2 linked regions of the Daphnia pulex genome follow. The protein of the gene in region 2 interacts with the protein of the main gene of each other region in a pairwise test. Links are inferred from orthologs where the notes say so. Each region holds a gene or a part of one and is shown on either strand. Other genes may lie near its edges. The genes, in order: splicing factor U2AF 50 kDa subunit-like and U4/U6 small nuclear ribonucleoprotein Prp3-like.

Region 1 (16,303 bases), on a different chromosome or scaffold from region 2:
CCCTACCGAGAGAATAAAAATTTGACTGGTACTGCAAGATATGCTTCAATTCACACCCATGTTGGAATTGGTAAGGTTCAGATGGATAAAAATCTTGATTCACTTTCTAAAATAATTTTTCCTTCGCTACAGAACAAAGCAGACGTGACGATCTAGAAAGTCTTGGTTACGTTTTAATGTATTTCAACCGAGGTTCATTACCCTGGCAAGGCTTGCGTGCAGCAACTAAACGACAAAAATACGAAATCATTTCAGAAAAGAAGATGTCTACTTCTGTTGAGGAGCTCTGTCGTGGATATCCTGGTATGAATTTGTTTAATGTTTCATCTAGGTAGACGTTGACGTTTGTCGTTTTTATTAGCTGAATTTGCCACATATCTCAACTACTGCCGGTCGCTTCGTTTCGAAGAAAAGCCAGATTACCCGTATTTGAGACACCTCTTCCGGAACCTGTTCCACCGGCAACGTTTCACATATGATTACGTATTTGACTGGAACATGCTCAAATTTGGTGGTGCTCAGAAGCCAGCTTCTGGAGCTAATGGAAGCAGCAGCAATGGCTTAGCAACAGCTAACTCAGCCCTCCCTGTAGCACCAAATCCAGTGTCAATGCCTGTTGACGTAGCCGCATCTTCTGAAGATAAAGAGCAGAGGGCTCGAGCCTACAGGAATACACCCATCGCTCAGTGGGTGGGCCAGACAGCAACTCTCCCACCTGAGAGACCTGTACAGCCAGCGACCAATCCCCCAGCCCCCACACGGCCCTCGTTCTCGCATCCTACTAACCCCCTGCCTGCAACGTCCGCTTCGTGGGCTGCACGTTCCCGTGCAGCTCGTACCCAACAGTGAAATAATGAAAGTATCATTTGAAGGCTTTTAAGATTTGATGGTAACAATTAAGTCATGAATATATGGATATTGTTACCGATATGTACGACCAACCCTTGTTGTAAATGTTTATCATCCATTTTCTTCCTCTGATCTTGCCACTCTTTTGCATCCCTTCCCGTTCTCCTCAGTTCTCGATTTGCTCTTCGTAACGTGTCGCAGCCTTGGAAATCGTTTTTTGAAGTAAAGTGATGAAATGAAAAAAAAAAAATTACTTGTATGTTGTCACACTTGTAAATTACGCGACAAGCTTATCGGAATACAAATGGTTTCTCAACACCAGTCTACACTTAATAATAACCCACAAGGAGAAAAGACGAAATTTTCAAGTCATCAATTTATTCAACATAAAACTTACGAATCAAACCACTTCCCTTTCTTCCCAGATGTAGCTTTAGCCATTTTAGGAGCCCCAGTTGTTACACTACCAGCAACTTTCTTTTTTGTCGATTTTGTCTTGGCAACTCCCTGGCAAGAACAATGCAAAGTTAATTTTTTATTTATGACTGTATTCCCTAAATTTACCTCTTTCTTCTTAGCGGACGCTTTGCGATTCTCGGGATTTTTAAACATTTTTCTTCGAATTTTCGGTTTCTTTGATGGAACAACTTCAGCATCGGGGGGACTAGGTCGTTTACGATGTCGAATTTTCGGTCCTCTATGCGATGGTAGTCCTTTAATTTTAGGGTCAGCTTTTGCTCCACTGAATTCTTGAACGGGTAGTTCAGCAGTCGCATTGGTAGATGCGATTTTTTCATCTTTCCCTTTTTTTACATTTTCAAGACTTTTCTGAACACGGTTCAGTTTGGCTTTTACGGCAGCACGATTCTCCACACTGAATTCCACGATAGGTCGCTAAAAAACAAAAAAATAAAATAAAAATAAACACAGAAAAGAGGAGTCTCAAGTAAATTATGTTTACCCTATCTTTTGAAAACAAAGTGGGATTGTTGTTGATATTACGCAATGCCAGTAATGCGTCTTCGTGTTTGGTAAACTTTACAAATCCATGCCCTTTGGATGGATGTACGTTTCCTTCACCAACAGCTTTTAAGTCGCGCATAATTTTAGCCTAAAATAATCTGAAGTTAATAAGATTCTTGTTATACAAAACCAAAAATTTACTGCACCTCTACGATTTTGGCATCTGGGGATGAATGATTCTTGAAAAGCTTAGACAACTTTTGATCCGTAAGTGAGGGTGGAAGATTATGGACAACCAATCGTTCCCGTGAAATAAACATGTGGAGATTTCGAAGCATTTGCTTTTTCCATAGTTCGTTTTGTTGCCTTTTCGCCATGTCAGTTGGAGAAACTCCTTGAGCGGCTAAGGTACCAGGTCTAATAACTAAAGAAAATTGTAAGATAAGCAAGAAAAAACAATCTTTAATATCTACATTCAGAATCTTACATCCTTCGCGAGCAAGAAATAGATTTCTCTTATCCTTATGTTCCTTTTTTTCAGCTTCTTGCTTTTTGTGATCGAGGTCTTCCCGAGTAACTGCAAGAGCCACGTCTAAAATGCGTCCATCTAACTGTAAATATGGATTTCGAGACTCTTCTAAACACTTTTGAGCCGATTCCGAATCCTAAAAATGGTTAATATGAAAAGTTATTAGTATGTATTTATTTTTGCAATAATGCAACTTACTCTAAATTTTACGAATCCAGTGCCCTTGGGTCTCTCCATAATTTTATCCATACACAACAATGCATAGTGAACACTGCCAAATTTTTCCATGAAATTTTTCAACGAGTCTTTTGTGGTTGAAAAGTCCAAATTTCTGATAAAAAGAGTCTTTCCTTCTGCTACATCACTCTTCTTTTCTATTTCAGAATTATCACCCTTCCAAGCTTCTTCTTTTTTTGGACTTTCTTCTTCACCGGAACCATTCTCAACTTCAGAATCAGAAGCTTCTCCATCTTGTTCTTCTTCATCATTATCTTCTTCTTCATCATTACTTTCTTCATCATCAGATTCTTCATCTTTTCTGTCATTTTTCTTCTCTGGCGGCTCAATGTTTGGAACTTCGTCAGTTTTATTATTTAAAGTGGCATACTGTTGTTTTGGTATGGCCCAATCAATAGCTATTTGCCTTCCTACAAAAAAAAAACAATTGATAAGCTATTATCAAATTTAAAATGTTAAAATTTTCTTACCAAGAAATGGTTTTGCATTGCATTCTTTGATTGCTGTAGCCGCACATGGAACTGTTTTAAATTGAACAAAACCACAGCCAACTAAAGTGCCACCAGGTTTCTTTAATAATTTCACATCCTCAATTTCTCCATATTTCTCAAACCAGTTTTTAACAGCTTCTTCTGTTGCCTGTTAATAAATTAAATCAAGTACTAACTTACTAACATACTAAAAGTAGCATAAATTAAAGTTTCTTGGCTTACTTTGAAAGATAAATTGCGAATAATTATTCTTCCTCTTTTATTGGGTGGTCTCTTCTTTGATGTGTTTGCTTTAGTAACAATAGAAGCTTCTTTTTTAACTGAAGAGTGATTCATCTTTTAAATCTATCCAAACACGTGCTTGTCTGTATAACTGATGTAGCTAGTCAAGCAGACGATTATATGTGTCAAAATGTAGCATAGACTGTTGTCAATTGGCAAAATGACAACTAATGAGGATTAACATGAATACAACAATTACTCAGAAAATAAATTTTATGTGGCTATTATTTTATGAAATATTTAATCTTACCTTTCAGTATATTAATCAAAACCAAGTTTGAAATTGTAAACATTAAATCGACGTTGCCGGTACAAGGAGTCAATCGAACCTCGTCTCCGACGCCATTCGCCCATTCCCAGCCTTTAATCAAACCGGCTTACAGTCTTAGTGAAAATTTGGACAATAATTAACTGTTTTCCTCTGCTGTGTTTCTTCTTATTGTCGTACAAAAGCTAACAATCACACGTTAATCATGGGAGAAGATAAAGATGATCGTAAAGGTATGTTTTAACTTCTCTAAACTACTTCTGTCAATATCAACTATAATGCTTTTGTAATGTTCTTAAGAGTCTGTGATGCTTAAGAAAGAAATGTTTAACACACATTACTTACAAGTAATGGGTGTTTAATGATCTGGTTGTATTTTACACATAATTTCATAACTTTTAATGGTTTATAATGTTGGCTCGTGGTTTTGCTTTTGTATGGAAATATTAGTCATAGTAGTTAGAAGGTAGTCAAGCAAGTAAACTTACTTGTTTGATTTATTAACATTTGAAATACTTTAGTTGACAGGGAGAGAGATCGTGACCGTTCCAGAGATAAGGAAAAGGACAAGGAAAGAGACAAGGATAGGGAAAGAGATAGAGACAGGGATCGTAGACGGTCCAGGTCTCGTGACAGAAAGAGAAGGTCTAAATCTAAGGAAAAGGAGAAGGAGAAGAAGCGTAGCAAGTCCCGTGAACGTGAACGCAAAAGGAGTCGTTCTCCTGTTAAAAAGCAACGCCGAAGAAAGCCGTCTATTTACTGGGATATTCCTCCTATTGGTTTCGAACACATCACACCCATGCAATACAAAGCAATGCAAGGTATAAATCCTTATTCAAGTTTCAATTTTAATGTGCTAATTATTATTTTCTTGAATCTACGTAGCTGCCGGACAAATTCCAGCTAACATAATGACGGAAGTAGCCCCACAAGTCCAAGTACCAGTAGTGGGTAACACAATCACTCGTCAAGCCAGGAGACTCTATGTTGGGAATATTCCTTTTGGAGTTTCTGATGTACGCGCAGCGGAGGAGGAAATGATGGATTTCTTCAATCAACAGATGCATTTGTCTGGTCTGTCTCAAGCTCCAGGTCATCCCATTTTAGCTTGTCAAATTAATCTGGATAAGAATTTTGCATTCTTGGAGGTTTGTTGGATTGTTTTCACGTGAAACCTAGTATTTTAGTGGAATATTTAAATAATTTTGCTCTTTTACTTTTCAGTTTCGGTCAATTGATGAAACTTCCCAGGCCATGGCTTTTGACGGTATTAACTTTAAAGGTCAAACTCTAAAAATCCGCAGACCCCATGATTATCATCCAACACCTGGTGGTGGCGGCGGAGGAGGAGGAGGTGGTGGTCCCGAAACAACGCCCGGCATGAGTTCTGGTGGTATAACTGAAAAGAGGGCTGGAGGTGGAGGTGGTGGAGGAGGAGGAGGCACAAGTAAGGACGACTTAAAGTGATTCTTTTATGGCAAATTTCTTTAATGTATTCATTGTTTTTTGCTCAGTGAGCACGATCGTCCCGGATACACCCCACAAATTGTTCATCGGTGGACTTCCAAATTACTTAAACGAAGAACAAGTAAGTTACCTGTTTCGTCGATGTGACTGTAAAATGTGTTTTCGATTGGGAGAAGAAAAAAGAGTGAGAGAAATGGGATTTGTGAGCGTCTAGTTGAAGCAAAATCGATTCTGATGAATGTCTTCTTCTTTCGTTCTCCCTAAACAGTGGTCACGTGATCCTTAAAACTTCCTACCCATTCCAACCACACAACCTCGATCCATCTCCCCACCGTCGATCCCTAGATTGTTATTTTTGAAGGTCGACTCTAGGCACGCACGCAAATTGTCTCATTCGAATTTAGGTAAAGGAATTGCTGATGTCTTTTGGACAACTTCGAGCCTTTAACTTAGTTAAAGATACGGCTACTGGCTTATCCAAGGGATACGCTTTCTGCGAGTATGCCGACGTCACCGTCACCGATCAAGTAAAGTAGACCATGATAATATTCCTTGAAAAACCATTACATCTAATTTTATTTTTCTTTCAGGCTATTTCCGGATTGAACGGTATGCAGTTGGGAGACAAAAAGATCATCATCCAGCGAGCCAGTGTTGGAGCCAAAAACGCCGCTGCTTACGCCCAGATGCCAGTCCAGATTCAAGTACCAGGATTCAATCTTGCTGCCGGTCCTGGCCAACCGACAGAGGTACAAAAATCAACCTTGTCTAATGCGACAATTTTTAATTTCATTTTGGTCTTTTCTTTTGCGTAGGTTCTATGTCTGCTGAACATGGTGACACCCGAGGAATTGAGGGACGACGAGGAATATGAGGAAATTGTGGACGATATTCGTGAGGAATGCAATCGTCATGGAGCCGTACGTTCAGTCGAAATTCCCAGGCCGTTGGAGGGTGTCGATGATGTACCGGGAGTTGGCAAGGTCTTCGTCGAGTTTATTTCGGTGAGCGACTGCGTTAAAGCCCAGCAGGCGCTGACAGGTCGCAAGTTCGCCAATCGTATCGTCGTTACGTCATTTTACGAACCGGAACGCTATCACCGACGGGACTTCTAAGCCATGACGGCTTCTGTCATCAGACAAAAAGTAATCCGCAAGATATGCCCCTTCTTTTTTTTTTTTTTTTTACTTTGATGAAACAAATAACGTCATGACGAACCGACGCTTGATGAGAATAAACGGCCTGATGCGTACGGGATTTCCCTTGATGAATTTGATTTTCTTTTTCTTCAGTTTTTTTTTGTCATTTCTAAATGGGTTTTTCGATATTTTGCATCAAGTTTGTGTTGTCCAACCTCTTTGTTTGGCGTGTCGGTGAAAAAACAAAACAAACAATAACATGTGTAGTAATGTATAACCAAACCATATTTCCCAATACACAAATGTGCGGTGAACATCAAACTGCCACATTATTCCATTTTCGAAAGCATCCAATTATTTCAACTTGAACTAGAAATAAGTCCATATTAAAACAGAGGTTCAATAAACTACGATAGAAGTTGTTTTGGATTTTATTCTTCCCTGTGGCCGTGTGACAGGTAGAATTATTGCAATCGCCCAACGAATGGAAATTGAAATTGCGTTGTGGGTCGACTAGAAATAGTTGTTGCAAAAGTTTACCTGGCGGGTTCTTTCCCCATTTGTATTAATAAGCGTTGATTTGTCCTAACGTGTTTTGTTTCATCAGACAAAACTAAAAAAGGAATCATAATTATTTTTCGCCGATAAAGTTTTCTTTTTTGAGTGGTAAAAATTAAAAATGAACGAATCGAACCGTGAGAGCGTGATTTCATTGTACACAAAAGAAAAAAAATACATACATGATTGTACCGATTATAGTAACTGACCCGAACAAATGTCTCTCCCGCATCGTCAATTGGCGATAACTCCGCAGAGATATTGCACTTTACAAAGCTTTCAGATCGAAGCGGAATTTTCGGCCTTTTTTGTTTTTAGTTCCCATTTTGCTGATAGCAAAATGAAATTACTCGAATCATAGCACCTTTAATATGTAATAGCCCTTTCTTATAAAAATGAACAATAGACTCGTCATGAATTTAAACTTCCTGACGGGAGGGCAAATAGCTAATACAGCAAATGCGAGCAAATAGCTATTGAAAATTGCAGAGAAAATGGTCACGTTCTCGCTGGACATATTAATTGTAAGTACTTTGAAATATTATTAACTTCCTTTTTTGAACTTGCCACACCATCACGACATCATATGTCATCAGCGTTAACCACCAAAAAGAAGCCAGTTAAATAACGAAAGTATTTCTAGGCGTGCCCCTCCTTTTTTCCCTTCCTTTTGCGGTGAGCAATCGTGCTCGGTTAAAACTCGACGCATTTAAACAATTCTCATCGAAACGCGAAAGGAAAAGGAGTTTGTCTAGCCGACAGTCGAGTTCGAAATAAACAAAATCCACTAATAACCCGACCCATCGCACAATAATAAAAGGCAGAAATAAAAGAGCTTGAATGAGTGTGTGTGTGTGTGTGCAAGTCTTTTGTGAAAAGTTCACCACAATAAGCCTGTCATAAAAAATCAACACATCGAAATGCCAGCGTGAATTGACAGAAATCGTGTCCATTCATTTTTCGCCCTTTATAACGTCAAACGTAAGTGCGACCACGCTGGATTTGGGTTGACCGAAAATCGACAGTTATTTCGAGAAGGTGAAATGGAGAAAGGAGAAATAAATACTTATAACAACACAGAGAAATTAACAGTAACAAGTGGTTGCAAGGTATTATTCCGTAAGAAGTAGATAAATAGAAACGACCTTGTCGTCATCATCATCGCGGACGGTCGTCTGTTTTGTATGGCCGCGCTTGCGGTACGCGTGCAATCGCCCCGAGTAGTTTGCGTTTCTTTTCATAGACATTTTTCATGTAACGTGAACTGCGCAGTGCCCACAAAAAAATTGAAACTTTTGGTTTGAAAAAACCAACAGAAGAAAACCAAGTTGATGGAACCCTCCCCTTAAAAAAAAGCGAGTTTTTAATGTTAACGTCCCAAAGAAATCCGACGATTCGACATGAACTTCATCAGCACCTTTTCGGGATGGTTCCACTCGCCGACAAACATTCTTCCGCAATTTTTTTGTCTACAATCAGCAAAAACAAATTGCAATCGAACGATTTTAGAATTTGAAACAAATTCAAAATCGGCCCGGAACTCTTTTATCTTCCCTGTTTTTTGGCCCACCTAGAGAACGAATCAAGAATGTATTGCGTTCATTCCACATACTGGCGGTCACACGAATGGAATTCTTGAAATTGGTTACAGTGTCGAGTTTTTTCTTATAACCCAGTATGTTTCAGGCTGTACGTCCAAATCCGGACCATCTGCGTGACAGTCACCCTCATGTGTCGGTCGGTACCAAACTATGGTAGATCGCGTTTCATGTGTAAAAGCAACGCATTTCAACCAACATCCTCAAAGGCACAAAACAAAATAGAATATGCACAAGGACTTTTTAGTTGGATGAACTTGAAAAATACAAGTTCGAAAAAAAGTTATCGCACCTTTTTCCCTGAGGTGAAATACAAGACGAAGTTCACTGTACCGCACTGTACTTCGGTTATACAATTTTCGTTTTTTTTTTCATGGATAAAGTTTATACCGCAGCAGTTAATATATTTAAAAATATCTTTGACGATGACGGCTGAGACTAAAGCGGCTGCCTTGATTTATCATCGCAGTTTATTTGAGTGGCAGTTTACTTACACATAATAAAGCCGACTTTCTCTTTTTTAAAGTGAGATTCTTCAAAAAACAAATGTTGACATACGGCAAAAGACAACAACAAAAAACAGCGGTCGACTGTTCAGCTGTTCTCGTAAGACAAAGGGAAAATATGGTCGGCCTCGTTTCAGGCCTTTAATCCACACTCGTTCAACAGCACACATATATTCTTATATATTGATGATGATACTGTACTGTATATATACGGCCCCCATCATCACTGATCTCCGTTATCATCCGTGTATTGTCCATCTACGAGAACTCATCTTTTTATGTTCATTCTCTCCGTTACGATACGAGAATGATGCTATACAAGTTGTTCGACTTACTTACTTTCCTTGACAAAAGGAACAGCAAACGGCCGACAATAATAATTTCGTGAAGAAGCAAAAAGGAACCGAAGAAGCGGGAATTTTAAAAAAGTCAATGACGAAGAAAGAAGAAACAGCAAAGCAACAATATAAAGAAAGTAAAAAAAAACAAAAGAAAACAGATAAGAAATTATTATTGATTCCGTTAGCTACTGTTCTCTTGTCTCGTCTCATTTCCGGCTGGCCGAATGACTCATTTTAAAAAACGAAATTCTTGTAGGTCCATTTAAATGCTTATAACATAGCACCACTTCCTACACAGTCGATTTCGCGAGTACCGGACTGTCGAACCCGTTTTTCTTCTTGTGCCTCGATCGTTCGTTTTTTTTATTTTAAAAAGAAAAAAGAAAAATAATAAAATAAAATTTAAGAGAAACACACAAGAGAGTTGCAGAGCGACATTATAAAAGACTGTTATGTTTCTTTTTGTTTTGTTTTTTTCCCTTTCTGTACGCATTGCACGTATTGCCCGGCAGCAAGTGCATAGGCGCTAACCGGATAACAGTACATGTGAATGATACACGCGCCCCGGAAGGCTATGAACGTGGCCGGAAGAAGGAGGTTGTGCTATGCCAGCAGCAGTCAGAGCAATGTCACGTCCTCATGTGACGGTATGCCCGCTCGTTAGTTATTACACAAAATCCGGCTACTTTTTTTGTTCGTTCCTCCCGTTGGAAAACTCACACAGAAAAAGAAGAAGAATATAGTACTTTATGATGAGAAATGTCCGTACTAGATTTAAAGCATCTGACAAGTCTGTATTAAAAAATCACGGCGGATCTGACATTTCTAGTTTCAACAAGGGATACCAAAGACGTTTGATTTTTTCTGATTTGCGATGGGCACCAGTAGAAACAAGTCTCATAAAAGTAACGGTAACGATGTAAAGTCGAATGCAATTTGTTCCACGCAACTTAAAATTTTCGTCGCATAGTCTTCTCTCACAGGATAAAACCAAAATTGGAGACCACAAAGAAAAATGTCTTCAGAGCAGGAAAACAAGCAGACAGAATATGTAGACAATCAGAACAATTCAAATTTGTCTTTTTCTTTCAATATTTCAATCGGATTTATTCAATGCGGACACATACGGGCGCAACCGTCTGTCAATGTCCACACGACCTGACGACAAAAGCTCACGAGCCATCCTTGAAGAGTTGAGTAACCGACATGCCGGTCGTTTGAACGCCAAGAAATAAGTCGATGGCTATCACGATCAAGTTTTCGTTCCTCCCTCGGGAACATTTCAGGACTCGAGTAATGTGATAAAAAGAATCTACTAAGATTTTTGAAATGTGACGCACTGTTTCTGATCGAGACTGCCAGTGGGTTGGTGGGTCCAAACGACGGCCGATTTCTTCCCTTCTTAACGAGGTAATGTACCGTGAACGTAATTCGGTCACGCCGTCACTCAAGTACGTATAGCAGCTCTCTTTTGGTTTAATTCAATCATCACGTAATCAACGGATCAAGCCATAAGGGCGCCAATTGCGGGCGCCTTCAAATGGAACAGTGCCGCGAAACAGAACGAACAAGTATGCCTAATTTGCATCCGTGCGATGCTTAAGTACACCTTTCGTGAAAAACCTGCCGTCGGCTTTCTCAATTGCGTGTATTATGCACGGAGTCTGCAGTAGGGTCCCATAATGAAACAATCTCATTGTTCCCGTGTCATATAATATAACGTTAACAAATAATTTGAGGCGAACCATATGGAATGAAATGTCATTTAGCTGCAACGCAGCCGACTAAATAACGACTTTTGAATGGTCACTTAAAGTCAAGAGCGGTGGGCGGCATGCCGACCTCGTTTTCTCTTGGCAATTCCGACAATTTCAAGAGCGGTATAATATTATACGATTGTTTCATGACGATTACATTGCCCAGTAGAAGGCGTCGATGCCCCCTTTGACAGTGTTCTACAAGGGAGCTGTTAACAAGTATTGCAAGAAAGTCGACAGCATCTTCATTCCCGGAACTGGATCCCAAAAAAAGATCGGCCCACTTTGATGACAATATTTGAAATGCTGACAACGCAAACTTGGACTATTGTTACGGTACACCCGCCCTGTTACATAAAAGATACAAGCCCACACAGTCACTAGAATCCGACGAAAGTCAAAACTAAGAAAAAAAGAAAGCGTCAACCATTTGAGGAACAGATGGAAAATATTTGTTCCTTAAAGAAACTGAAAAATAAAAGAGAGAGAGAGAGAAAAAAAAACAATGGTTTCTAATTCTATCGTATTTGGGATGAAACAAAATTTTTTATCATCACACTGCGTGATGCCCGTCTTATATACTATACGTTTTTTCGCAGTCATATCGAGAAGAAAGCGCCAATTCAAACATTTCCATTTCAACAATGGGGGGATATTTGAAAAGAAAAGACATTCGCTCATTAACGCCGGTTGAAAGCAACATCAATGTTCTGCCATCCCTAAGAAATTACTCGGATAACAGCGAAAAAAAAAAAAAAAAAACGTACAGATGCGGATGTCGACCTCTACCTTCATCACGATCTCTAATGAATTTAAACGATAGTAAATTCTCTATTAACTCGGCAATTCTTTCGTATTTCAGCGTGCCACCCCCTGCCGTGATTTGTTTGATCGATGAATTGGAGTGAAACAAAAGGGTTGGCAAAAAAATAAGGGAAATAAAAAAAATCAACAACCAACGAAACAAGAATCGTGTCCGACTTGACTTGTTTCTTGCTCGTAATCAACAATCTCATCCGCTCGACCAGCGGAATCAAAATGAATCAGAAATGAATCGTCATTGAGGTCAGCAGCGAATCGTCGGGAGATAATCAAAATAAGAGCATGAACTGCGCAACTGCTATTGTCCAACGGGAGCGTGCTAATGAATTGGAGCGTGCTTCTCTGAACGACGACGACACGTAGGCTACTTTTTAATTGATGGCGGATCGATGAACGCAGTTTCTCAATGACACAAATGGCTGCTCCAATTTTCCCTTTTTTCTTTTAACGACCATCTTATTGCTTGATTTTCCTGTGCCTATCGATACTCCGTGAAAAATTTCTAGATGAATTTCACCGTGATAGTTAGAGAGAGAGCTTAACGCGTCCAATGGTCGAATTTCTCTAGATATATATCAACAAGTCTCTGTCCGAAACGACACGGAGAATTTGTCGATTGTCGAGTCTATTAAATTGTCTTACATCTTCTCTAAAAGTGTATGATATACATCAACTCTATACATGTTCCGGTTCACTTTTGGCGTCCTGTTAAAGGACTTTCTCCCGGCATGGCCGCAACATTAATAGCAACAGATGCTCCGCGATTTAAAAAAAAAAAAAAAAAGATTTAAACGAACCAACAAAAGAATAAATTAGCTTAGGAAAAAAACTTTGTGGCCTATCAAGCAGTGCTGATTCCAACCCCCCCGAAAAGAAAAAAAAAGAAAAAGAAAACAAAGAGGATTCGCCATCGTCATTCCCACCGGCAGAAGACGATGCAAGGTGTGTGTGTGTAAGCGGGCCTGCAGGTGCTTGTGTGTGTGTATCAAGTTCCTGCGGTGTGGGGCCCAACCGTGAGCCGGGGCCCTTTATTAAAGAGTCTTTGCCAGTAGCCGAGCTGCATCAGTCGCTTTGCAACGCTCGTCGATGACGCCCGCCTTCTGTTGTTGATCTTCTTGTATCGAGTAGAGAGAATTTGTTACGCAACAACAAGCCCCAGTCCAAGACAGGTTGGAGAAAAACCCAGAACTACCCCAAATTTTTGATTGAAACACAACTCAGCAGCGGTCTTATCTTCAATCGCGGACCTCAGGCACTGGATGTGTCGCAGCTTGTCGATCAAGAAATAAGCCAAAAGAGGAACAACATTTTTCTCAATCTCGACAGGAACTGATCCTACTCCGAGCCGTGATCCATCAGTTCAAGACTTGGCCCATCATTCAACAAGAGAAAAGGAAAATTCAAGAGGAGCCAAACATGTCGTTGACGAGGTAAGATTTTTTTTTAAATATTTGTACATCTTTTCCTGGTTGCTTTGGGCAATCAAATTTATTGAAATGGGAAGTGGTGCTTTCTTTTTTAAAAAAAATGTTGGGCTTTTTCGCTCTCACTGAGAGATGCCTCGAGCAGGAGCGACAGTGGACAGGACGCATTCTTCAAAAGAATTGTACCGTACTTCTGTTACGATACTGCGTGTAAAAGAAATAAATATCAGAGAGGGGGGAAAACAAGGAAGACTACATAGCTGGACTTATTGTGCTCGCTTGCCCGCCCGCTTGACCGGCAATAAGGTGCAATTGCAAAGAAGACGGAGCATCAACCAAGACTCCCCATGAGCTTCAAAGTCCGTCTAACGGCCTTGCGGTCTGAATAGGAGGACCCGAAAGGGAGTAAAAATCTGTGAGCGATGCCCACACATAACGACTAGACACGAGTGGCTTCGGCGTCAACAGCACAACAGGGATGGACGGGCCTACACTGATCCGTCCTTGTGCATTCAGTGGGATCAGCCATCCGCAACGGGCCTGTTGTACGGCATTGTGTTTTCTCTATCTCTTTTTAGATATTTTTACTTTTCTCCCACCCATGGTGATGCAGTTGCCAACAAAGTCCCGAAAGCCTCTAGTAAGTCCAGCATCTGCTCAAAACAGTTGAAAATTCATTCCTTGATAAAAGCGGTCAAGAAAAATAATATGTGAAAGCATTCGACAATTTATGGCTCAGCTTCTCGATGATTTCGTCGTGGGCTCGTCAAAACAATCGCGATAATAGTTGGCAAATTGTGTCTAGAGGTCATTAGCACCGGGGCACACGCAAAAGGGCCATTTTCTTACATGCCTTTTGGCAGAAAACGAATGGGACAGAGAAAAGGATATGGAGATGACATTAATGAATGTATCGCGCTCTCGATACTTGCGCGAGAAAAACAGTAGGAGACTCTCTTGCGCACTCCGAGAATAAGAGAAGAGCGTGGTCCATTTCCTGTCTTTTACAGCCCTTAAATTGCTCAAGCTAGTACCTCTGCTTATATACACCTTTACGGACGAGCTATATACAACTTGGCTCCCGCGTCTTGCACCATTCCCGTCTCCTTCGCAACTTTTTTCTTGTAGCAATTCTTGTTTTATCTTTTTCTTGCTCTCTTACAATTGATGACATCAACTCGTAAAAATGGTTGGTTTTTTCTTCTTCTTCGTCTTGGTATTTTTCTTTGTCCTCATTCGTTAAGATTATGTCGCCATCGCTCTCGAGTCTCGACTTATTTTTTTTTTTTGCCTCACTACTCGAGATTTTGTTGATTATTCTTTTAAAAACTAGTCGAGTTTACAAATCTACCTCTACGCATAAAATCAGTTGAGTAATCACAAACCAGGATTTCCAGTAAAACAGTTTAATTTTTTTTATTTGACATCCTGGTTTCTTTGAAAAAAAAAACGTGTGTCTTTGTTCATTCCCGGGCAGTTATTAATGTAAGTAATCATCTATTTTGTCTAGTCTGAAATGATGACCCCTTTCATTTAAACAGACGGAAACGATGCTGACAAGCTGTTGATTAATCTGTTATCTTTTAATTGCAAACTAGAGCAAGTGAATTACTTGAGCGTACATGATGAATTGTTAGGGAAGAAGAGGCTTACACAGCTTCAAGCCAATCATGGTAGTAATTGTCTCATTAAAAACCGATAAGACCTTCAGCGGTCCATCTTACTCACATAGTCGAGAATTAAATCTCACGACAGACCGCTGTTCCCTCCAATCATCTGCGGGCCACAATAATGTTCTCTTGTCGTATCAAAAATATAAGGAGGAACGACGGTTCTTATTCTTTCAGACATGACAGATATACAGAAAATAATATCAGATCGAGAGAAGCAAAAAGGTAATTCCGTGGTGCACAGTTACACGGCACAAGCCAAACTGAATTTTTTTCCATCTCATCATTTTGAGAAAAACCACTCCCAAAAGGGGGAAGCTTAATTATACTGTATAAGAAGCAATGTAATCTCGGGGGGTGGGAAAAAAAAGCTGCAAAATTCTGAAGACTTGTCTACGATATAGCTTCCACGATTAGATCCGTCGAATAAACCGCCGTGCGTGTAATCATCATCGTCGTACATGTATATACTCCGGGCGGTATCTTTTTTTTTTCTCGAATGGCTCCCAATTGATGCGATTTAGACACAGTACATATACAAAGAAAGAAACTGAATGAAACGGAAGGGCAAAAAACCTGCAGAGTTTGAAAGTGAGAAGTGCGATGCTAAAGAAAAACAGTTGCATGTTCATATTTTTCTCTATCGAGTCTCTGGCAATAAAACAACTGGTTACTTTTCCTTTTTCTTTTTCTGACTCGAAAAACTTGCTCTCTCACGGCGGCTAGAGAAAAAAAAAGGTCGGCCGAGAAGGTCACGCTGCGTACATTCGAGAATTTCGACTCACGCGACTTGTTGACTATTCCGCCTCGCCGCCTTATATTTTCCCGAACGAGTGAAAGTGAAGACTATATAACGCACACAGTAAAAAAAAAAGAAAAAGAAAAGAAGATTATCGAATTTCTCAGAGCGGTTCCAAGTGCGTGTAACATAGACACACACACACACACGTAATCGAACCAACTTGCTACTTTTCGTACGTCTATGCTACATTCAGTAGGGAAAATTTGGGGGTTTCGCTATCACGAACATGTCGGGAGTTGCCGGGGTGAAGACATTTTGCCGTTTTCTATTTCCCGATATTGAACTTGCGGTTGAAATAGATAATTTCAGGTATTTTTTTTTTTTTAGATAACAATGGCACCGAGACACGGAAAAAGTGAAGCGTCTGGCACTTGTCAGCAATTGTTCTGCTCCATAAGGGCAGACCATCAATGCAATCATGCATTGACGGTTCGTTTTCTTTTCTTTTTCTTTACTTTTGAAATAAGAGAAACAAAAGAAGGAGCAAGGCTACGTCCTTGGCGTGCTACCTGTGTGCCCAATGTGATAAAAGTAACGAAGGGGTGAACGCCCCACAGCACCGCGTCCTCTTATAACTCAAAACCATCCAATATGTACTGA
Region 2 (16,303 bases):
TTCGAAAAAAATATGAGCATTCTAGATCTTGGCTGTGGTAATGGTGTACTTCTTATTCAATTGGTAACTACTTTACTTGTTGTCTTAGCCTAGCAATATTTTAAAAAAAAACTGCTTGTGGAAGTTGTCTCAGCAATAAAATGTAACTATTGTGCAATGTGCAGGCTCAAAAAGGATTCCATAATCTCGTTGGGGTCGATTACTCGGAATCGGCTGTCGTCTTAGCCAGAGCCATTGCAGACAGTCGTCAAGCAAAAATTTATTATAAGGTTGTTAAATAGTTTTATGATTAATATACTTGATTTTTTTGAAGAATAATTTTAAAATCCCACATTCACGATTCAGACCATGGATGTGCTTAGCGATGATTTGGCTGATCCTCAGGACCACATGAAATATGATTTACTGCTGGATAAAGGGACGTTTGATGCCATTTCACTGATGGAAGACTTCGGCTCAGCGATCCGTGAGCGCTACCTCAAAACTACATGCAGTCTGTTAAAGGAAAACGGACTCTTTCTCATAACTACTTGCAATTGGACGAGCGAGGAGATTGTGCATCACATGGCAACACGTACTGAATTGATTTTGAACTTTCGATTGTTTCCTTCGAATTTATGTTGATGCATTACTTATTGCTTCCTTAATTTTTCAGACTATAGTCGCACGGAAGTTCTACCAACTCCTTCACTGCAGTTTGGAGGTACGCAAGGTAACAAGGTTAGCGTTGTCGTCTTCCGAAAGAAGGTTTAATACAAAAGTCGAAAGCAATTAATTTGTTTTGAAACTTTTCTGCTTAAAGCGTAGAACTTGCGCCACTTAAAAGGCAATCAACAGAGAAAAGGTGAGATATACGTGATCAATTATGAAAACGATATTTCACTCGTGCTCACGGATCCTATACTAGTCGGTAGTCACGTAGCCCATAGTTGGCCTTCCCTAAAGTTATCTATATTGTGTTAGCTTCGTTAAGAATGCAGTTCTTTTGAGAGCAAGTCGTGAAATAGGTTAGAGGGGAATTCTAGCTAGCAATTATTCTTAACAGCTAAAGCAGAAACAGATAGACATTTCTGGAAGCCCTCAGAGAGATACGAATTGCTGCCAGAAGGGGATAAATCGACATAATAACGTCGGAAAACATTGGACATCTAGGACATCTATGTCCGTCTAGCAAGAAAAACGTTTACAATAACCTCTTGATTGAACGCTTCTAAATTTCTCTGTTTTATTTCTTTAGTTGTCTCAGGTGAAAATGCTGCTGGTTAGTAAAATATGCTCAGCCGTCCTTCTGGCTGTATTCAGACTTTTTGCTGGACTGCTACCACTAAAAGTCCACCGAAAACTGGAGAAGTGGAGTCGCCGCGGTGAAGGGCAAAATGGAAGTCGACGAAGGGATCGCGTAGAAATGTTTCTGTCCATGTTCCTTTGCTTTGGTGCTGGACTGCTCTTATCCACCTGCTTCGTTCACATGGTCCCAGAGGTATTTTAGTTCTTCAATTTCAGCAAAAGCAGAAAACAAATGACACATTAATTCCTGATTTAGGTAAGGGTGTCGTTCGTTCAGGCATCAAAGGTTGGTAATTGGCCAATATTGGAACAATTTCCTTTTGCCGAAATTGTCATCTGCATAGGTTTCTTTGCGGTTTATCTACTAGAAGAGCTAGGGGAAAAACTGATCAAACATGATCCACCTGAAGAAACGGGCCATGAAATGGTCCCAGCCAAATCTCAGTCGTTACTCGGCCTGGATGGCGGTAGAAGAAGTAGCATTCATCACAGTCACGGAGACCATGCTCATTCACATGGACCGGCATTATCCGCCGAAGAGCAGAAATCCGTCACTGCGGCGATCCGCGGATTCCTGCTAGTAGCCGCCCTGTCATTTCATTCGATTTTTGAAGGAATGGCCATCGGTTTACAACCAACCCAGAGCGACGTCTGGTTTCTTTTCACTGCCGTCATCGTTCACGAACTTGCCATCATGTTCTGCATCGGGATGGAGATGCTGGCGTCTAAACTCCGCGTTCTCCTCTACGTCATTTACATGGTAGAGTTGGGATTAATCACTTCGGTGGGTGTTGGCGTCGGGATTCTCGTCACAGAGTACGTCCACGATCCTTCGGCTACCCATTTGCTAGTAATCGCCATTCTGCAAGGTATTGCTACTGGAACTCTTCTCTACGTAACGTTCCTTGAAGTGCTGGAACGTGAACGCCATAAACCAGGAAACGGACTTGTTAAGTTAGCAGCCATCGCCATCGGATTTTTCCTACTTACTACCATGGAAACGTTTAGTAAGTTTTAATCATTACCTTAACAGCACAAACTTTCATCAACTTGAATTTTGTAAATGTAGCTGGACAACATGAGACTACTACGAGCACCACGCCATATCCTCCAGTTGATTACGTTGCAATGAATCAGTCGTCTGTCGAACCGTTTGAAGAAACAACGTTGGATCTACCAGATATTCTTAACGCCACTTTAGCTTTTCTTAATGTTACGCTAGCTTAGTCAACCTTCTTCCAAATGCACGGTAACCGTCGAGAACGGAAAATGGTTTGCTTATTATCAAACAATCCTTATTACTTTCAATTAGAAATGTTTAATCCTACATAATCAAAATTGTCCTTCGATGTGAATTCAATCCGCAATTGCAAATTTTTCTGATCTCGTATAGAGCGAAATAAGATGCGCCGAAAGAATCGGACTTCCAATTCTGTGAAATACGTGATTGGTGACTTTCAGTTATCAATTTTCATCGAAGCGTAATGTCTGTAAAGTTTCAATTGAATTTTATTGGTGCCCAAATATAAACTTTGTGTTTAGCAGCATAATAATATAGAGTACAGTTCATTGTTTTCTGATAAAAAGAGAAGCGCCAAAGAGAATAATTGATAACACAACTTCAAAATATTTCTAATTCAAAATGGGATGTATTCAGAAAAAGGGTATACAATTATACGCACAAACAGTTACGCATTCAATATGATCTACACTCATTGTTGTCATTCAATTATTTGTATCAGTTGTGAACGGGTTTCTATGGTGTTGCTGCTTTAGGAATAGGACAACACAAGGCTTTTACGCCGGTCACGCAACATTTTCCGTCTCCACAACCGTCTTTGCATACCAAATTAAATCCGGTTGGACATTCGTTGCTTGTCGAACAAATTGGCGATGTTCCTTTCCAGTAGCAATTCGATCTGTCCACGTCGTCTTTTATATGACAATGCAGTCCCTTAAATTGTGCGTCAGATTTCGCTAGATCTGAATAAAATCGCGAATTCAATTTTTGAATTCCTTCAACTCAATGCAATAAATAATGTGCTAAAATACCTGCTTGAACCCATGATAGAACTAAGAGAACAGAGAAAACAAACAAAACAGATTTTTGCATTTTCAACTCGATCGGAAAAGGCCAAACAAACACCTTCAGGGTATGAATTTAGACTGAACGTTTCTTATTTGATCTCTAAGCGTATATAACCTACATTTCAAAAGATGACACAATAATTTTCGTCACATGATGAGATGGCACCTGGCTTATTAATATAGTGATTAAATTAAAACTGGTTATGTACTGGTATTGAGGAAAATTGATCTTGTGTTAATATACCGGTCATAACCTCCGCGTTGCTAATAAGCCTCGTCTAGATTAAATCCAGTTTTGTGGGATTAAGACAATCTCTATCCTGGTTTATATTTGTAAATGTTAATTAAAAACAAAACGCATAGTCGTAATACGACAGAAGACCATGAAAGTTTATCGCGATCACGTCCTGTATTTTTAAGAAAACTTTTGCGTACTACGCAGTTGCGAAGTGTAGCAAACACATATAAGAGTGATTTGATAATTGATATCAGTTGTATTTCAAAAGGTGTCCGTCGTTTGTAATAAAAGAATACTTTGAATAACGGTTAAAACCTTGAATGGACTATTTTTAGATGGATTCCCCTGGTATTGGGCAGCACAAGGACTTGTTGCCCGTCCAACAACATTTCCCGTCTCCACAGGCGTGTTTGCATATCAAAGAAAATCCGTACGGACATGCATCACCGCTTACACAGAATGGCGATGAACCTTTCCAGTAACAATTGGATTGGTCCACGCCCGGTTGAATATGGCAATGCGGTCCCATAATTAGCGGATGAGTCTGATTGGATTTCTCCGTATCTGAAATGCGGAAAAGAGAAGTTTAAATTTGTTTATAACTAGGTTTTGAATAACACTTGCAAAATTACCTGCTTCAACCCATGCGACAACTAAGGCCACGGAGAAAACAACAAATAGAAACGATTTCTTCATCTTTGATTGCAGCTTTTCAGTCAGCACTTTTAAGTATATACTGTGGCGGGTATGAATTGAGACTGAAACAAAAGTGAATTCTAGTTAGCGGCTAAGCTGGTACCCAAACGTCGAACTGGAAAATACCCATTTGAAAACGTCGTCATGATGATTTTGCTTGCGACGCTTCAACGAATTTTTAAGGTAAAAATTTACTGTTTACTCTTTGGCGTCAGATTAGTTACGGGAAAGTATACTACTCATCCAGTAGACGATCCCAATAAAAGCAAGTTATTTTCTCCTTGAATTCTATTTGATAAATAGATAGACTTTATAGTTTGGACGGTGTTGCGGTGAGTAATAATGCTACTTGTTGATAAAATATGCTCAGCCGTGTTACTGGCTGTGATAAGACTTTTCGCCGGATTGCTACCTCTTAAAGTTCACGGAAAATTAGAGAAATGTCTCAGCGAAGGACAAAGTGGAATCCGACGACGAGGTCGAGTTGAGTTGATTTTATCAATGTTCCTTTGCTTCGGTGCCGGACTTCTCTTATCGACTTGTTTCATCCATATGCTCCCTGAGGTATTTCAGACCTTGAATTCAAACCATTAATATAATGAAACAATAGATTTCCTGGATTAGGTGAGGACGTCATTTTTAGAAGCGTCCAAGGTTGGTGAATGGTCCGCATTGGAACGGTACCCCATTGCCGAAATCGCTGTCTGCACAGGATTTTTCATCGTTTATTTTCTCGAAGTGCTGGCCGAACGATTGATGAAGCAAAATGATGTCGAAAACTACCCGCTGAATTTGAGGACAACTCCTTGCAACACATCAGAACCGAACAAAACACAACCATTACTGAGGACAGAGGACGGTAATAACGGACTTCCAAATTACCACAGCCACGGAAACCAATCTCCCGAAGAACACGCTCATGGCTTGGCATTATCCGCCGAAGAGCAGAAATCCGTCACTGCGGCGATCCGCGGATTCCTCCTAGTGGCCGCCCTGTCATTTCATTCGATTTTTGAAGGAATGGCCATCGGTTTACAACCAACCCAGAGCGACGTCTGGTTTCTTTTCACCGCCGTCATCGTTCACGAACTTGCCATCATGTTCTGCATCGGGATGGAGATGCTGGCGTCCAAACTCCGCGTTCTCCTCTACGTCATTTACATGGTAGAGTTGGGATTAATCACGTCGGTGGGTGTTGGGGTCGGGATCCTCGTCACAGAGTACGTCCACGATCCATCGGCAACTCATTTGCTAGTAATCGCCATTCTGCAAGGTGTCGCGGCTGGAACTCTCCTCTACGTCACGTTCTTCGAAATCCTGGAACGTGAACGCCATAAACCAGGAAACGGTCTAGAGAAGCTGTTTGCCATTTTAGCGGGATTTCTTGCGCTTACCGCGTTAGAAGTTTTCAGTAAGACTTTCCCCATACAACAATATGCATCCTGCTTGCTTGTTAATGCAGAATTTTTCCATGTAGGTGCAGCGCATAAGTTGGAAAAGGGAATCCCCTAGCCCCTAAAAGGACTAGCAATCAATTGTACCCCATGCCCCATATGGTTGTTTTCCCCGACGAAACAATATTTGGCAACGACTAGGTAAATTTTGCACCGTCGTGGCTATAATGTTGAAGAGGTTGTTGCTCCCAAAATCTCTCTTTTTCTTGCTGTGTCATGGCTCATTTCTCTGCTTAATTTTATTATCAATGAATTTAGAAAGTGAGACGATATTTTCTATGCTTCGTGACATCGCTTAGTTTCTCTCGGGGAACACTTTATCGGGCAGGTGAAAATAAGGTACAATTTTATTTGATTACTAACGGAAAGTAAAAGTTTCGAAACATTTCGAGATTTTTAAATATGCGACAAACAGTGAAGTACAGTTATGCGCCACCTATGTGAGATTGCGCAAGATTGAATTGCCGTTAGCATAAGAGTACAAGTGTACAACCGAAAAATCCTTTTAATCCCATGATGAATGCGCCAGGTAGACTTTTATCAGACATCACGTACGCCAAGTCTGCCAATCATTTGGCCGACGAAAATTTGAAATAAGCCCGTAGGAATTCCATGGAGTGTGTTTCCCCTAAAACAAGGATCTGCAAACAATTTGAAACTGTCCGACATTGCTTACAAAAGTCGTCCTTATACACAACTACTTGCTCATTGTGTTTGTGTAAGCTTATTATATTGAAAAGTGCTTGTGGGGATACCAGCATAAGGTCGCGACACATTTTCGAACATGCAGGAAAGAAAACATGAGGTATTATAAAGATAATGCAATCATAGATTTTATCTTTATATTCTTCCTTCTCTATCCTTGAGCGAAATTCTGGGTTTTTCCCTGATAGATTTTTTATTTAAATTTCGCGGGTTGGTTATAATCTCGCGTCTTTCAAATGAATGGACCATATAGTGATGTTCAACCGAGTTGCTGAGAAATAACTTCTAAGAAATTTTTTAACTGAAAATTGGTGTTATCTCTCATGTGTTTCCCCTATGAGCGATAAATAGTTGAGGTTAAGGTTCACTAAACTAAAAATGTTAGATAAAGATGTAGGTAATCTCGATATTTGTTTACTGTATAAGTTAGTTTGCTGCCGGGCATAGTATAAGGAAAGCGGAGGGTACGTTGGCTGTTGTTTGCAGTTGAAAAAACAAATCACGAATCATGGGCGTGTTACTAGCTGTTTCCTACAAAGAGTAAAATGGGTCGAAGCGCCGTTCACATCCGCTCGGAAGTTGTATAATATAAAAAAAACACGGACGTACGATTATTTCAATAAGTAACAAAAGGACGTGAGTAGAACGTTTCCTATATAAATACACGCTTTTCAACAGGCAAACGCATTTGAATGTGAAAATGTCAAAGCCACGCGTTTCCTAATAAATCAAATTTTGCTGACTGTTGGCAGTTTAGCGCAGGGATATTGCAACACCATCCAGATCCGGGACCAGACATCAACAAACGGCTGGCTGAAACCTTCTGGCTTTACCAACACAGTTTGCTCCCAGTTGGGAAAAGTGCGTACGTGTGTGCATAATCATGATGAGATATTGAACCGAGAGGAGCCGTGGTTACCAGGGACGAGTCACGCGGCATTCAGTTAAAATAAACAACATTGGTACTTTTTCTCTTCTTCATCTAGCGGCTAACCACTCTTCCTCAATTCTCTGGTCATCTTTTGTGATAACCGAAGGGTACAAAGTCTCTCCTTCAAAGGAAAAAGAAAGAGAGAGCGTCGTTAAAGAAACCTTGGAGACCAGAAAAAGCCTACACAAAATAAATGGAGGAAACACAAGGAAAAGAGAAAATCGTGGTGAAGCGCTTTTGTTGGTTCGTTTGGGGGTGAAACATAAAACACTCAAGAAAAAGGAAGGAGGGGCATAGAGAGAGTTGGGTGTTGTGTCTTGTCGGCCTCGCTAGTCAGACGAAAACATTCCGAGCGAACGAGCGGATCGACTCGCTCGCGTTCCGCAGCAATCAACAGGTGTCTGTCGCTAACCGAAAAAATTACGACCAAGGAGCAGACGGTAGCTTGTTTGTTTGAGTCTGTGTTTTGTCGAATCTTTTATCGCAAGCACACGTGGAGAAGTAGTGACTTGGCGTAGTATACTTTAGGTCATGAATCTGTTGTTGAGCAACCGTTGGATCATTACCTTATTCCATAATTGCCATCGCCAATCCGCCAGCAGTTCCTCGTCGTCAGCAGCTAATTTATTTAAATCAGAATCCGCACAGTGAAACGCCCACCCACAACAAGACAATTTGTTGATCAAACAAGTTTTCTCGACTGTCGAGACGCAGTCAAGGCGCTGTGTGCCGAATACTTTCGGCCACGTTGGTTGTGTGACAGCTTCTCACATTGACGTCACACTAAATAAAAATCTGCCGTCTCATTCACCGAAACAGAAATGATGTTGGTCAGCAAAATTTGTGCTGCGATCCTGCTCGCAGTGCTGAGACTCGGAGCGGGATTGTTACCTTTAAAAGTGTATCAAAAACTCGACAAGTGGAGCCAACGTGGAGACCTTAAAGCTGCTGAAAAGCAAACAATCAACAAACGACGAAAACGAGTGGATTTGTTCATGTCTGTCTTTTTGTGCTTTGGCGCCGGACTGCTACTTTCCACCTGCTTCATTCACATGATTCCAGAGGTAATATCAAATAAAACAATTGTTTAGTGTCAAGATGTCTGAAAAATTGTCTGATAACTTATCGATATTACGTAACATGTTTCAGGTTCGAGATTCGTTCGACAAGGTGATTAAATCGGGTCAGTATCCGGCTCTGGAACAATTCCCATTCTCGGAAGGCATCGTCGTATTGGGTTTCTTTGCCGTTTACCTATTTGAAGAACTCGGAGAACTGTTGATGGGTCATGGCGAAAAGAAGAAGAAAAAGAAGAAAACAAATGCTGCAGGATCTCCTACGGTCAATGGCCAAAGTCCTGTTAAAATGGTCACATCTGACTCGGAAGATGATCGCCACAAGCTGACGATTATAACAGTGCCTAAAGAGGACATAGGCACTAAACGCGTGACTGAGGAAGGAACTGACAACGATTCCGACGATTCCAGCCATCATGGACACAACCATCATGGGCATAGCCATGGGCCTCCACCCATACTGTCGGACCTGGAAGAACGATCTGTCGCGGCAGCGATACGCGGCTTCCTGTTGGTCTTTGCACTGTCGTTCCATTCTATTTTCGAAGGAATGGCGATAGGATTGCAGCCAACTCTGAAGGACATTTGGTTCCTATTTGCAGCCGTTACAGTTCACGAGCTGGCAATCATGTTTTGTATCGGGATGGAGATGTTGGCCTCCCACATTCGTGTAGGCATTTACATTGCCTACATGGTCACACTGGGTCTTATCACTCCTATCGGAGTGGCCATTGGAATATTCGTCACGGAATATTTTCAAGATCCTACGCCGTCTCACACGTTAACCATCGGCATCCTTCAAGGAGTCGCAGCCGGAACTCTCCTTTACGTCACATTTCTCGAAGTGTTGGAACGCGAGCGAAGGAAATCCGGCAATGGATTAATTAAGCTTTTATCCGTTTTCGTCGGCTTTGTCCTCCTGTCATCACTTGAAGCCTTGGGCGGTTAGTTTCCTCCTTTTAAAAAAATTCTAAATTCAATTTCGCTGAAAAGGAAACTATTAAAAAATCTGTTAGAAATGACAATCACGAACTAGTCTAATAAATACCACCTTTTTCCTTATGCTGCGTCATAGGTCACGGAGAACCAACAACAGATCACCAAACACAAACAACTGTCGGATTATCGTTTGTTTTGCAACCCGTCACGACACCACGTTACACCTTCTATTCACCGAGTGCCTGAAAAGCTGCCCAGCGTCAAAGGATATATTCTGTCATGTTCCTGCGAAGACCTGTATAACATTCCCCGTTTTTGTACACAAAAAAAGAAAAAAAAAAGAAATAAAGACAAATCTTTTTATTGATGGTAATATTCAAAGATGAACGTTTGGTTCAAAAATGAAAAGAAAAAAATAAAGAGTTAAAGTTGATGGCAGAATGAAACCGATCACTTTTCTTCAGTTTCTTCCAGCACTGCTGTGGAATAAGACAGGTCCCAGTAGTGTTCGACGCCGTGTTTGCGAAAATGTTCTCGAGCCACAACCTCCGATGGGCAAAGTTTGAAGATGAGGTCACCAAAATTGCGTTGTTTGGTCGTGCCTTCCCAAACGAGCTGGCAGGAATTCCGCGTTTCGGGCTGGGAGGATGAACCAGTGTCGTGTTTGCTAACCTTGACGGCGTCCTCTTCCCACCGAATGCGATTGAGCATCAAGCGTTTGTACTTCTTCTGCTGTTTAGGGCCTCCTTCGACTATAACGACGTTAACGTCCTTGAAAATGACTGCGCATCCCGTCATGTAAAGCTGCTTGGCATTGGTCTCGATTTTGAATTTCTTGGATAAATTGGACAAATCCTTGATCCGGTAAATCGCCACATGCACACCGCTCGTTGTCGTGTCTTCTTGGAGCTTTTTCTCCTTCTTTTCGCGTCGCTGGTCAGCCGTCAACTTTCGAGAGGCATTTGCCTCCTGGTGATTTTGAAGTCGTTTGGCCATTTGCTCGCGGACGTGAGCTTCAATTTTGGTTGGATCCTGGATGGCTTCGTTGCCCAACACGCGCATCAAATTAGAAATTCGAACTTTTGCTTGAGGTGGCGGTTCCAGTCCCAAACGGATATTTTCTTGTTTCTCCTTCCAATTTTCACGTCGAGTGGTGCGGCGCAACTTCTTGCGCTCTTTCTCGGTGAGAAAGACGGGCAAATAGGGCAAGGCCAGCGGGTCGGTGGGAGCACGCATTTGGATGGGATGTTCGATTAAATTGGTAATCGTCTCCTGGCGTAAATTGGGCTGTCCGTCTTCGCCTTCGTAGCTTCGTGTTTGCAAGATGACCGAGTCCCACCATTCCAAATCAATGTCCTCCTCCTCCTGACGATCGCCAACTCGTGGGGCAACTAGAGCAAGTGCAGTGACTGAATTGATGCCAGTCTTACGGGCAATTTGAGAGATTTCGCTTTGCAATTTGTCTAACTGAGCCTTCATTCGCATTCGAGATGCCACTTGCTGAAATTTGCCCTGCTCGTGAAAGTGGAAGGTTCTGCGTGTTCTCACGGAGGATTTGGCTGCAACACGTGGATCGAAGAAGCGACTTTCCGTCAAATTTCCCGCTTCCTCGCTTTGTTGTTGAGATCCTTTGCCCATGTGAGTCTTGAGCACCTCGCGTTTTTTGGCACGAATGTTTGCCTTGAGAGTTGGTGTGTATTGGGCCAAGGCAATCTCTTTACCAGTCGCATCAACTGTCCTTCCATCAGCGTTGAGAATAAGTGGGCCAGGTTTCGGCTCATTATTAGACCCTTCCCCTGTTGATGCAGGGACACTGGCTGTTTTAGGAAGACTCAAGTTCAATGTGGCTAAAGTGGAGGTGGCTAGTTTTGACTGAATTTGAGCCTGTAGTTCAGCAATCTTTCTGGCACGCTCATCCATTGAAGATGGGGGAACGGCTTTAGGAGCTACAGGTGTTGGAAGTGATGAGAGCACTGGGGTAGTCTTGAGAAGAGCTGGCGGTTGATTGAGAGATCGTTTCCTTTCCTCAATCATCTTTTGAGCATTCATCATCATTTCTCTAATCTGAGAAGAAGAGAGTTGTTCAGTAGTATCCTGGTCACTCTTTCCATCTCCATTGCTGTCATCCTGGAATCGTGATTTTAACTTTTTTGCTTCTCGACCAGGTCCATCGAGTGAATCTTCTTCTTTAGGTCTTTTTATGCTTGTAGTAGCCATGATTGGAAATACCCCAAAAAACCTATATCACAGATGCCTAAAAAAAAAGAAAGAAAAGTTGTTGTTTACTGAAGAGAAACATTCTGCTACAATGTTATTATAGTGACAATTTTCAACGTACTGAAAATATCTTCTAACAATGTTTAATCTATGACAAATGACGAATGTATTGTGAAATAAAATCATCGGTTTATTGAAGAAAAAACAAAATTATTCTTACCAATGCTTCAATCTTCCACTGTAGTTCGTAACTGCAGGTCTAAACTTGCTCTGTTTAGAGACCGGTTAACAACCGATAAGAGCCTATTGATGCACAGAAAAATCGTAGAAATTCAGATGATAAACTCAAAACGCTGTACAAATATATAATTTCAAACTATATGTTTTTTTGAGTATGCTCAAAGTGAATGTGTAATTACACTATTTTGGGGGAAAATTTGTACGTTTTTATACGTTTTTGGTTACCCAAGCAACGCGAAGACGCCATCTAGAGGAATCTTAAGGAAGTACTGGGACTTTCGTAAAAAGAAAAAGAAGAAGCAAGCGCTCAAGTTCAAAGCATTTTTGTTTCTCATTTTTGGTTCCAAGGACAAGGAGATATAAATTTAGAAAGAAATCAAAACTAAACAAAAACCTATTTTTTTTCTCTGAAACAGTTTCTACGTTAAGTTTCTATGGTGAGTAATCGTAATGCGAATTGTTTTAATTGTTCTTTCTGTGTTTAAGACGAAAAGCAACTTTGTATTTTAAACACGTCATCAAATTTTTGTTTTAGTCTAGAGAACAGAATAATTTTGGTCATAATTTTTTTTTCAAAAGCATTTCACTGGTTGTATTAAATCGTATCATACATAAAAAAATTGTCATTAAAATGGTAATACTGTTTCCAATGTGCCGAAAACAGAAGTATCGGTAAACATCGAAGGAATTTCTTTGTACTCCAAGGAAATATCACCATTTGCAAGGCATGTATTATTTCCATTTTGTCGTCATCCGTCGGTTTCTTCTTTCTCTGTATGATGATGAAAAAAGTGCCTGAAAATCAAAGGGTAAGCAATCCTAAGTTAACTCTTGTCTTAGGTCGGGCTCAATTCCAAAGTGCCGGAGTCCAACAGATCTCTTTAAAATAAACGGGTCCTGACAAGGCAAGTCCACAGCGATTCACCACGACGGTTGTAGACAAAGGAGAAGCGGTTGCTGTTTCCAGCATATCCTCCAGATCCTGTCACCTATCAATCCACAATGCATCCATCCAAATCCATTCCAATGAAATCCAAATCCAATGCAATCCAAATCCCACAACAATCCCATCCAGAGAGAGCAATAACCTTGCTGTGTACGCTACAAATAGAAAGGGGAAGAAAATGAGAATCATGTTTATTCGACGCACAGCTATTTTGTGTATTACAAGAGGGAGGGGAAAAAGGAAAGGATGAGGTTGCTCACGGAAAAAAAAAAATTAGTTGGTTGGAATCGGGGAGCTCTGAGGGTATTCGAAACCAAAAAGGATTACGTGTACGTCGAGAAGAAACTGAATGATTAGTAGCAATAATTGCAAATGCCAAAATCATAACCCAAGAAACATATTTTGAGTTTCTCATAAAAAATTGAAATCTTTGATGTAGCTTGTTGTAAAAAAAAAAAAAATTGGTTTTTGCAATTTAAAAGATTTGCTATTCATCTAAGAATTTTGAAAATATAGTATGAACCATGGAGACAATACCAAAGACCCCTTTCCTCCTCCAGTCCTTCCAATCCTTAAGCTTTTTGTTGTCCACATCGCACAACTTTTGTCTTTTTGTTTAGTTTTGCCTTTTTCTCGTTTCCATAACTTTTTTAAGATCGTGATCTGGAACGAGGTGAGCGTGAGCGCGAACGGGAATATGAACCACCACGACGAACGGGGGAATAGCTGGGGGAGCCGCGACTTCCACGTGTTTTGCCGCCACCACCGGCTGGAGAATAAGATCGCGATCGATCACGAGTTCCGCCGCTGCGACCTATAGAAGAAAAAATTCAAGGTCAATATTTACTTTAAACAAAAATTGAAATATAACTTACCGTCTCCGCTATCTTCCTTAACGCGCACATATGATACTTCTCCCTGTAAACGTACGAATAATTTTGAAAACTTTGTTTATCAAGATTTGTAGAAAATATACCTCATGTGAACGGAATCTTGAGTCATCTAATTTCTTGATGGCGTATTTCATATCCTCGTAGCGAAGGAATTCAACCATTCCAGTTCCATCTTTATAGGTATCAGCATAACACACATCACCAGCTTCTCTCATGTGATCTTTTAAATCTTGCCATGATCCAGTAGGAGGAAGACCTGTGAATATCAAAAGTGGCTTTAAATGATGGTTTAAAACTTTACTAAATGTTTAACTCACCAGTTACAATGACTCTGTAATTTGTTCTTCTTGCTGGTGGCCCTCGACTCCTGCCTCCACCATTGCTACCCCCACCATCACCCCCTCCTCTACCTCCATCACCACCTCTTCCTCCACTTCGACCACCACTACCCCTAAAAAATAAATATTATGAAAAATTAAATTAGGATTTTTACTTGTTTGTCATAATTTCTTTTACCAACAAAATAAAACAATCACAACTAAATTACAAATATGGTATGTGAGGATAGAAAAACTGACCTGTGTCCACCACCAGAATTCTGTGATCCTCTTGGAAATTCCACTCTCAAACGATATCCATCATAGTCATAGCCATCACGAGCATGCACAGCATCCTCAGCATCCCTATAAAGTGCTTGTAATTAACTAAACAAGGAAACAAATATAACCATGCAACATACCTGGGATCTTCAAATTCAACAAAAGCAAAAGGAGGTCCTCGTCGGTTCTTTAAATCAATGTATGCAATCTTTCCAAATTTGTAGAATAAGTCTTCAATGTCCTTAGTGCGAATGTCGGGTGGCAAGTTACCGACGTAGATTCTGGCTTCATTGTTGCGAGAACTTGACATACTGACTGTTTCTTGTCACTTACGGTTAGTTGCCAAATGTGTATGTTAAATCGAATTCGAATACGGAATTTGCTTTTTCGAAAAAAGACGTCACAGTAGTCTTGGGTGTTAGGCGCCCCTTGTCAAACAGAAAAATGCCGTAAATTTTTCTGAACGGGTAATGGCGTCAGCCATGGAGCATTGCCAGATCAGCAAGTTGATAACGCTTTTATTTTTATTTTTTGTCTTTTTTTTATAGTTACTATTTTTGTGATTTTAATTTTTTTTGTTTGCCTATAAATCTAGCAAATAAATCGCGGATGAAAATTAAGTTGAAATAAGTTCATATTAGTGGCTTTGTGAATAATTAGGTTTCAAAGTGAACACGGTGGCACTCTAGTAAGCGCAAACCGAAGACCGAACCACAGCTATTAATGGTTAACTCAGTTATCTCAAAATTATGCTTGTTATCTTGAGTACTTCTTTGTTCTGGTGCAATTAACTGAATGACCCTTGCATGCAGAGCCTATTGCGCGACATTTTTGTTGGGCTCTTGGTAACGACGTTCGCGTGCAATCTATACCTGGTATAAAATCGTACATCAAGGTCGAGTTCTTTTCAACCGCATTGACGTAACGATCAACTTTGTGACAAGGTCATTTGCTCTGGGGGTTATCTCCTTTCAAGAACTGGTATAAATAAACCGGCATTGGTTACAACAATAACCTATCTTTAATTTTTCAGTGGTGCATTTATTCCTTTTTTCCTGTGAAATTTTGAGTTGGCTTGCCATAAGCAATAGCTCTGAAAATTGTAAGTCTGAAAAATAGTTGAGCGTGCCATAAGGGATAAGACAACTTAGATTTGAAATAATAATAACAAAAAAAGTATTTATGTTCTTCTTTTGTGTTCCTTATTATATTTCACAATGTTTTGTTTTGTCCGTTCCGCCCGGAAATGTGATATTTAAAAAAGTATTCTAACAGCAGCAAACGGAAACGCTTATAAATGTTGACGTCACACATTTCATTTTAATTAAAAATTTTAGCAAGGAGAAACGTGAATAATTATTATTGTTAATTATAGTTGATAGACTTTCAATAATTTCCCTGTTTAAAAAAAACGCGCCTTTTGTAACTATCGTTAGAATCACTTGGTTCTATCATTTACTTCTACCGATACTTAAAGCCTTAATACGTTGGAGCAAGGTATTTGTGCGATAGGCAATTGACTGTCAATTTTAGTCCCGCATTTTTTTGCTACGGTTACTACTGCCCTCTAACGGAAAACATTCATTCAGTCAAAAACGTTTTTCCCTCATGAATGCAATATGAAAAATAAATGAGAAATCAAATGTTGTTAACCTTGTATTTTACTAACCAAATTGTAACCATATTATCATGATAGTATGTTAGTATGTTGTTTGAATGAATCAGTCCACTGGTGGCGCTTTGGACACAACTTGACTTACGAACATCAGAGTTCATGTAAGTTGCTGGTAACAGGCCTTTGTTAATATCATTGAAGAAGAACTTAACCGTCTGCAGATCTGCGCCGGTCAGAAAGATCTTGAATTTAACGTTGTCAGTTCTGAGTGTGCTTGACTCTATAGTTGATTTACTGTTGCCGAGGTCTGTGCAGTAGAAACTTCTAGGTTTTTTGAAAAAAAGAAAAGATTTAAGGCTGGTCCTTTAAAACAAGTATT

The links.
Region 1: the proteins of U4/U6 small nuclear ribonucleoprotein Prp3-like (region 2) and splicing factor U2AF 50 kDa subunit-like interact in binary tests that used the Homo sapiens proteins (3 or more experiments, as listed by UniProt). The link is inferred for Daphnia pulex from reciprocal best matches to the Homo sapiens genes PRPF3 and U2AF2.

The regions. Positions count from the first base shown.
Region 1 is NC_060018.1:5,203,186-5,219,488, reverse strand, and holds splicing factor U2AF 50 kDa subunit-like, read left to right. Parts: upstream 1-3,671; 5' UTR 3,672-3,824; coding exon 3,825-3,852; intron 3,853-4,140; coding exon 4,141-4,440; intron 4,441-4,504; coding exon 4,505-4,767; intron 4,768-4,843; coding exon 4,844-5,066; intron 5,067-5,133; coding exon 5,134-5,207; intron 5,208-5,490; coding exon 5,491-5,613; intron 5,614-5,676; coding exon 5,677-5,835; intron 5,836-5,901; coding exon 5,902-6,201; 3' UTR 6,202-6,567; downstream 6,568-16,303. Other genes in the region: casein kinase I-like, read left to right, coding at 1-70, 133-303, 362-849; RNA-binding protein 28-like, read right to left, coding at 1,243-1,356, 1,414-1,743, 1,811-1,960, 2,019-2,236, 2,300-2,477, 2,540-2,988, 3,049-3,217, 3,292-3,405; mucin-6-like, read left to right, coding at 13,224-13,237. UniProt on the Homo sapiens protein: Plays a role in pre-mRNA splicing and 3'-end processing. By recruiting PRPF19 and the PRP19C/Prp19 complex/NTC/Nineteen complex to the RNA polymerase II C-terminal domain (CTD), and thereby pre-mRNA, may couple transcription to splicing.
Region 2 is NC_060024.1:10,549,255-10,565,557, forward strand, and holds U4/U6 small nuclear ribonucleoprotein Prp3-like, read right to left. Parts: upstream 12,116-16,303; 5' UTR 12,097-12,115; exon of another isoform or gene 12,051-12,096; intron 11,935-12,050; 5' UTR 11,852-11,934; intron 11,669-11,851; 5' UTR 11,632-11,668; coding exon 9,865-11,631; 3' UTR 9,760-9,864; downstream 1-9,759. Other genes in the region: zinc transporter ZIP1-like, read left to right, coding at 1,253-1,480, 1,544-2,294, 2,357-2,514; zinc transporter ZIP3-like, read left to right, coding at 8,221-8,463, 8,549-9,419, 9,551-9,660; serine/arginine-rich splicing factor 1-like, read right to left, coding at 13,468-13,631, 13,693-13,735, 13,794-13,966, 14,028-14,161, 14,289-14,393, 14,450-14,619. UniProt on the Homo sapiens protein: Plays a role in pre-mRNA splicing as component of the U4/U6-U5 tri-snRNP complex that is involved in spliceosome assembly, and as component of the precatalytic spliceosome (spliceosome B complex).